Saccharomyces cerevisiae S288C: one gene and its partners. The protein of the gene in region 1 interacts with the protein of each later gene in a pairwise test. Each region holds a gene or a part of one and is shown in the gene's direction. Other genes may lie near its edges.

Region 1 (2,416 bases):
GTTTGCCAGCTAACTTGGTCGACTTGAACGTCCCAGCTAAGTTGTTGCAAACTCCAATTGACATGTCTTTGAAGCCAAACGATGCTGAATCCGAAAAGGAAGTCATTGACACCATCTTGGCTTTGGTCAAGGATGCTAAGAACCCAGTTATCTTGGCTGATGCTTGTTGTTCCAGACACGACGTCAAGGCTGAAACTAAGAAGTTGATTGACTTGACTCAATTCCCAGCTTTCGTCACCCCAATGGGTAAGGGTTCCATTGACGAACAACACCCAAGATACGGTGGTGTTTACGTCGGTACCTTGTCCAAGCCAGAAGTTAAGGAAGCCGTTGAATCTGCTGACTTGATTTTGTCTGTCGGTGCTTTGTTGTCTGATTTCAACACCGGTTCTTTCTCTTACTCTTACAAGACCAAGAACATTGTCGAATTCCACTCCGACCACATGAAGATCAGAAACGCCACTTTCCCAGGTGTCCAAATGAAATTCGTTTTGCAAAAGTTGTTGACCACTATTGCTGACGCCGCTAAGGGTTACAAGCCAGTTGCTGTCCCAGCTAGAACTCCAGCTAACGCTGCTGTCCCAGCTTCTACCCCATTGAAGCAAGAATGGATGTGGAACCAATTGGGTAACTTCTTGCAAGAAGGTGATGTTGTCATTGCTGAAACCGGTACCTCCGCTTTCGGTATCAACCAAACCACTTTCCCAAACAACACCTACGGTATCTCTCAAGTCTTATGGGGTTCCATTGGTTTCACCACTGGTGCTACCTTGGGTGCTGCTTTCGCTGCTGAAGAAATTGATCCAAAGAAGAGAGTTATCTTATTCATTGGTGACGGTTCTTTGCAATTGACTGTTCAAGAAATCTCCACCATGATCAGATGGGGCTTGAAGCCATACTTGTTCGTCTTGAACAACGATGGTTACACCATTGAAAAGTTGATTCACGGTCCAAAGGCTCAATACAACGAAATTCAAGGTTGGGACCACCTATCCTTGTTGCCAACTTTCGGTGCTAAGGACTATGAAACCCACAGAGTCGCTACCACCGGTGAATGGGACAAGTTGACCCAAGACAAGTCTTTCAACGACAACTCTAAGATCAGAATGATTGAAATCATGTTGCCAGTCTTCGATGCTCCACAAAACTTGGTTGAACAAGCTAAGTTGACTGCTGCTACCAACGCTAAGCAATAAGCGATTTAATCTCTAATTATTAGTTAAAGTTTTATAAGCATTTTTATGTAACGAAAAATAAATTGGTTCATATTATTACTGCACTGTCACTTACCATGGAAAGACCAGACAAGAAGTTGCCGACAGTCTGTTGAATTGGCCTGGTTAGGCTTAAGTCTGGGTCCGCTTCTTTACAAATTTGGAGAATTTCTCTTAAACGATATGTATATTCTTTTCGTTGGAAAAGATGTCTTCCAAAAAAAAAACCGATGAATTAGTGGAACCAAGGAAAAAAAAAGAGGTATCCTTGATTAAGGAACACTGTTTAAACAGTGTGGTTTCCAAAACCCTGAAACTGCATTAGTGTAATAGAAGACTAGACACCTCGATACAAATAATGGTTACTCAATTCAAAACTGCCAGCGAATTCGACTCTGCAATTGCTCAAGACAAGCTAGTTGTCGTAGATTTCTACGCCACTTGGTGCGGTCCATGTAAAATGATTGCTCCAATGATTGAAAAATTCTCTGAACAATACCCACAAGCTGATTTCTATAAATTGGATGTCGATGAATTGGGTGATGTTGCACAAAAGAATGAAGTTTCCGCTATGCCAACTTTGCTTCTATTCAAGAACGGTAAGGAAGTTGCAAAGGTTGTTGGTGCCAACCCAGCGGCTATTAAGCAAGCCATTGCTGCTAATGCTTAAACTCACCCAATGACCGATATATTGTGTTTCTATACTGTGTTTGTTATATATAGTTTACCTTTTTTAGACAAAAAAACAGAATTATATATTATCCTTATGTTTTGTTATTTACTCGGAAGCACACAATTGCCCACCACACAAAGGAGGTGGAGGAAACAATTAATTTTTCACACAAGAGGTATATATTTGGAGAAAAATGAAGAATGAGATACTTTTCTTCCGATTACTTAAGTATTACGGCTCTGAAATTTTCTCGAGCATTAGATGATTAAATCAAAATGACATAGTATTTCGCAACCTTTCAGTTGGGCTTTGTTTAAGAAGTGGAATACTTTTGCTTGAGTTGTTTAGTTTTATTTTATCCACTGTTGTCTTAACAAATATTTTCAAGACCGGTAAGCCGAAGATGAAAAATCATTATTAACTCATTTTTTGAACAAAAATATAAACAAAAGAAAGGCAACGCACAATTTTAGAGATACATAAAACGCAGTGGATGTTAAAAATAACAGCGGTACAGAAACGCCTGTCT
Region 2 (2,797 bases), 140 kb from region 1:
CTTTTTGTTGAATATTATTTTGCACTGGTTAGAGTGTAATTGGAAAATAAGATCGTGCGAAACTGTATCGATATAAGGCCTTTGGTATTTTAACATGCTCCAGTGTCTTTCAATACAATGTTTTACCTTTTTTGTTGGAGGTTCATATTCATCATTGTTGCCTGAATCAGTCTCGGTTTTATGAAATCCAGTAGCGGCTTTTTCACCCTCAGTTCCATTGAGACAACTGCTTACCGCTAAAGATTGGTTTCCGGTATGAAGTGATGTTAACCTTTCAATGGTTACACCCTTCTTGGAGACGCTATCAAGAGCTATGCAAACTTCTTGACAATTAGTTAAGGGATTATATATAATTTTTGCCCGCACTAATTCCTGCTCCAACCTGTTGAGACGGTAATAACGACACTCTTTTATCAGAGATGCGGTTCTTTCCTCAGACAGTTCTAATTTGGAACCGCCCAGTAAAGATAATATATCTCGGAAAAATTCTGGGGACCTTGCAATATATGAGGGTGGTAATAAAGGTGGAAAGCCCGGCTTCTTATTTGACTCCCACTTCTCAATTTCCTCATAAGATATGCGAGAAATCGTTTCAAAATAGTTCAACCGGTTCCCTTCTTCATGGAATAATGATTTTGGTACCTTAAAGGGAACACCTCCAATATTAGTGAAGTGGTAGTCGTATTCTTTTATGAGTTTAACTAACTTGGGTAACTGAAAATATAATGCGTCCGCGAAAAGACAGGTAAATTGTACTTCGTTCTTAATATCGGGAAAATAACCTTGTAAATGTCTGTATATTATGATGAACACGTCTTCCGATCTATCAACAAATAGAATCGTATTTTTATCGTGCGTATTGAAGAATTGGGTGAAAAAATTGGGCGCATCCGAATTCAATGTAGCACCTGAGATCTCAAATAGCTTTTGGCCAATCCTAATCTTGAAAACTTCATGGTTTGGTAAAAGCTCGGGGGTAGTTTCTAACTCTTTTGTATAAACCACGATCTCGCCCTTTTGGCCAGACATCTGATATGAGCGTGCGTGTGAGTGACTTTACACTTGTCTATCCACGTCCTGAAGTTGTTCGTGTTCTTTGGATATTCGTGTTCAAGCTAATAATGAGCCTTTAAGGTAATACAATTTATAAACCACCACCTTGGCCTCGATCTATTGCGCTTATGTTGTCTATTAGTAATCAAGAAAAGAACCCTAAATCATCGGCGTCCCCTGTGGGGCTCTCGGAAAAACCGGTCCTGACGTCACTGAAAAGATTTCGGCACATGGTCATGGGACCAGAGAAAAATTAATCCGACATGTGGAATATTTCCTTCCGTTAAGGTAGTGAGCGCGGATTTTTTCTGATTTGTAATTATACGGGGAGCTCTGGCCAAAAAGGTCAGTATTTGGTGATGAAGTTGAATATCATCTTTTGATTTTCTTCTGTATCATTCTTTTTCTTTTTCCACACCCCTTCCGGACGGTATTCACATATTGTTGAGAGGTTAAATGAAAAATAAAGGGGTGGAAAATTAAGGACGAGATGTAAGGGAAAAGCATAAACGAAACATTATATAAAGGAGCACAATTTCCTCTCCCTTGCCAATTGTGCATATACCGTTTCTTTATAACGAAATTTCAACAAACCAGAACAACACAAGTACTACCAATAACCACAACAAAACATGTCTGACTTAGTTAACAAGAAATTCCCAGCTGGCGACTACAAATTCCAATACATTGCTATCAGCCAAAGTGATGCTGACAGTGAATCTTGTAAGATGCCACAAACAGTTGAATGGTCCAAATTAATTTCTGAAAACAAGAAGGTTATCATTACCGGTGCTCCAGCTGCTTTCTCCCCAACCTGTACTGTCAGCCATATTCCAGGTTACATCAACTACTTGGATGAATTAGTTAAGGAAAAGGAAGTTGACCAAGTGATCGTTGTTACTGTTGACAACCCGTTCGCTAACCAAGCGTGGGCTAAGAGTTTAGGTGTTAAGGACACCACACACATCAAGTTTGCCTCCGACCCAGGCTGTGCTTTCACCAAATCCATTGGTTTCGAATTAGCCGTCGGTGACGGTGTTTACTGGAGTGGTAGATGGGCCATGGTTGTTGAAAACGGTATCGTTACTTACGCTGCCAAGGAAACCAACCCAGGTACCGATGTGACCGTTTCCTCAGTCGAAAGTGTCTTGGCTCATTTGTAGATGCTATGTAATAGACAATAAAACCATGTTTATATAAAAAAAATTCAAAATAGAAAACGATTCTGTACAAGGAGTATTTTTTTTTTGTTCTAGTGTGTTTATATTATCCTTGGCTAAGAGGCACTGCGTATACTTCAAGGTACCCCTGTGTTTTGAAAAAAAACAACAGTAAAATAGGAACTCCGCGAGGTTCAGGAACCTGAAACAAAATCAATAAAAACATTATATGCGTTTCGAACAAAATTAAAGAAAAAGAATAAATATAGATTAAAAAAAAAAAGAAGAAATTAAAAGAATTTCTACTAAATCCCAATTGTTATATATTTGTTAAATGCCAAAAAAGTTTATAAAAAATTTAGAATGTATAAATAATAATAAACTAAGTTTACAACAACAAAGCAGCGGCACCAGCCAACAAAGCACCAGCAGCTGGCAAAGCCTTAGCAGCAGCACCAGTGTAAGAGGTGACAGAGTGAGTTGGAGCAGCAGAGGTGGTGTTCTTTGGAGCTTCAGTAGAGGTAACTGGAGCAGCAGTAGAAGTACCGTTCTTTGGGGCTTCAGTGGTCAATGGGCACCAGGTG
Region 3 (2,691 bases), on another chromosome or scaffold:
GAAGATCCTAACTTTTCCATGGAATTTTATGACATTTTCAAAGATTTCAATTTAGAAGATTTGACATCAGAAAGTCTGAGGAAGTCTCGGTATAGATTGTTTCAAAAAAGATTATATTTATACTGCAAGGATCATTCTGTCGAGCTATTTGGAAGAAATTATCCTGTTTTATTGAATCAAGGTTCATTTGAAGGCTGGCCATCAACTGTCGCAATCATGCACTATTTTCACCCCATTGTCCAACCATATTTTGATGAAGAAGTTCTCAGTGATAAATACATAAATATGGCTGGAAACGGACACTACAGAAACTTAAATTTCAATGAACTGAAATATTTTTTACAAAGTTTGAATTTGCCTCAAATTTCTAGCTTCGACAAGTGGTTTCATGATTCTATGCACGAGATGTTTCTATTAAGAGAATTTTTATCAATTGATGAGTCCGATAATATAGGTAAAGGTAATATGAGGATTACCGAAGAAAAAATTATGAACATAGATGGTGGAAAGTTCCAAATACCATGTTTTAAAATACGGTATACAACATTCTTGCCTAATATACCCATTTCTTCTCAATCTCCTTTGAAGCGCAGTAATTCTCCCAGTAGAAGCAAGAGTCCCACACGACGTCAGATGGATATAATGGAACACCCAAATAGTCTTTGGTTACCCAAATACTTGATACCTCAATCGCATCCATTAGTAATTCAATATTATGAGACACAGCAACTTATACAGAAAGAAAAAGAGAAGAAAGGTAAAAAATCGAATAAGTCTCGGCTACCACAGAAGAATAACTTGGATGAGTTTTTAAGAAAGCATACTTCGCCGATTAAAAGTATCGGAAAGGTAGGCGAGTCGAGAAAGGAAATCCTGGAACCTGTGAGAAAAAGGCTTTTTGTAGATACAGACGAAGATACTAGTCTGGAAGAAATACCGGCTCCCACAAGACTGACCACCGTCGATGAACACAGCGATAATGACGATGATTCGTTGATTTTTGTAGATGAGATTACAAACAGCCAAAGCGTTTTAGATAGTTCACCCGGTAAAAGAATTCGGGATCTTACACAGGACGAACAGGTTGACGTTTGGAAGGACGTAATAGAAATATCACCAATAAAAAAGTCAAGAACTACTAATGCTGAGAAAAATCCGCCTGAGTCTGGTTTAAAATCACGCTCAAGCATCACAATCAATGCTCGCCTTCAAGGTACTAAGATGTTGCCTCCAAACTTGACTGCTCCAAGGTTAGAAAGAGAACACTCCTCTGTCCTTGACCAACTTGTCACAGACGCACAAGATACAGTCGACCGGTTTGTAGCCTGTGACAGTGATAGCAGTAGCACTATTGAATGAGTTAACGGGCACAGCGTCAAAAAATCCGCCACCACAGTTGATCGCGCCGAAAACGAGGGAGTTGCGATGAGTAAAATGAAGGGCATATATAAACAAGAGTAGACAGAGACACATTTTTCAATATCATATATATAGATTTAATTGGAAAGACAGTTATATTCTAACGTCAAAAACTTAACAAGTAAATCAAGTTGCAATGTCGTCGCTTATTTCAAAAACCATTAAGTATGATCCAGCCAAGGATAAATTAATCACATTAGCATGTGGATGTTTTTGGGGTACAGAACATATGTATAGGAAGTATTTGAATGACCGTATAGTGGATTGTAAAGTAGGTTACGCTAATGGAGAAGAGTCTAAAAAGGATAGCCCCTCTAGTGTCTCTTATAAGAGAGTTTGTGGTGGTGACACAGATTTTGCGGAGGTTTTACAAGTATCCTATAATCCCAAAGTGATAACTTTGAGAGAATTAACTGATTTCTTTTTTAGAATCCATGATCCTACTACATCTAATTCACAAGGACCTGATAAAGGTACACAGTATCGCAGTGGATTGTTCGCTCATTCAGATGCTGATTTAAAAGAATTAGCCAAAATAAAGGAAGAATGGCAACCAAAATGGGGTAATAAGATTGCCACAGTTATTGAACCAATCAAGAACTTTTACGATGCTGAAGAATACCACCAGTTATATTTAGATAAGAATCCACAGGGATATGCATGCCCTACTCATTATCTGAGAGAAATGTAGCTTTTTTAGTGTACGTGCCCTTATTTATGAAAAAAAGTCAAGTGCATGAATGAAATATTTACTGTTGAAGAATTTATTATATATATAGGTATACAGGATCTATCTTTTCGATAACGTAACTTAGTATCACATGTATTAGTATTAATACTGTGATAGGATTGTTAGCTGTTGTTTTTATATTTGCAATTTATTTATGATCTTTTTTGATGATCAAACCGTTGAGTTTTTGAACATTAAAAAATAGTGAGAAAGAAGAACTGAAATGGGAATTGAATTGATCAATATCTGTAGTGGTCGGCCTTGAATGGACCTTCTTCTGGAATACCCAAGTATTCAGATTGGACTTTACTCAATTTAGTCAATCTAACACCCAAGTTGCCCAAGTGGAACTTAGCGACAGCTTCATCCAAGATCTTTGGCAAAACGTGGACACCAACTTCGAATGGGCCTGTCTTTTGGAATTCAATGTGCTTTTCTCTGAAAGACTTATCGTTAGACTTGAACAAAGCAATTTGAGCTAAGACTTGGTTAGAGAAGGAACAAGACATAACGAAAGATGAGTGACCAGTAGCACAACCCAA

Evidence for each region.
Region 2: the proteins of TRX1 (region 1) and AHP1 interact in a two-hybrid assay, tested with the Saccharomyces cerevisiae proteins (one study listed by BioGRID).
Region 3: the proteins of TRX1 (region 1) and MXR1 interact in a two-hybrid assay, tested with the Saccharomyces cerevisiae proteins (one study listed by BioGRID).

What each region holds. Positions count from the first base shown.
Region 1 is NC_001144.5:231,170-233,585, reverse strand, and holds TRX1 (thioredoxin TRX1), read left to right. Parts: upstream 1-1,572; coding exon 1,573-1,884; downstream 1,885-2,416. Other genes in the region: PDC1 (indolepyruvate decarboxylase 1), read left to right, coding at 1-1,196. UniProt on the Saccharomyces cerevisiae protein: Participates as a hydrogen donor in redox reactions through the reversible oxidation of its active center dithiol to a disulfide, accompanied by the transfer of 2 electrons and 2 protons.
Region 2 is NC_001144.5:367,096-369,892, forward strand, and holds AHP1 (thioredoxin peroxidase AHP1), read left to right. Parts: upstream 1-1,685; coding exon 1,686-2,216; downstream 2,217-2,797. Other genes in the region: YLR108C (uncharacterized protein), read right to left, coding at 1-1,029; CCW12 (Ccw12p), read right to left, coding at 2,602-2,797. UniProt on the Saccharomyces cerevisiae protein: Thiol-specific peroxidase that catalyzes the reduction of hydrogen peroxide and organic hydroperoxides to water and alcohols, respectively.
Region 3 is NC_001137.3:233,382-236,072, forward strand, and holds MXR1 (peptide-methionine-S-sulfoxide reductase), read left to right. Parts: upstream 1-1,555; coding exon 1,556-2,110; downstream 2,111-2,691. Other genes in the region: YEN1 (crossover junction endodeoxyribonuclease), read left to right, coding at 1-1,359; SAH1 (adenosylhomocysteinase), read right to left, coding at 2,389-2,691. UniProt on the Saccharomyces cerevisiae protein: Has an important function as a repair enzyme for proteins that have been inactivated by oxidation. Catalyzes the reversible oxidation-reduction of methionine sulfoxide in proteins to methionine.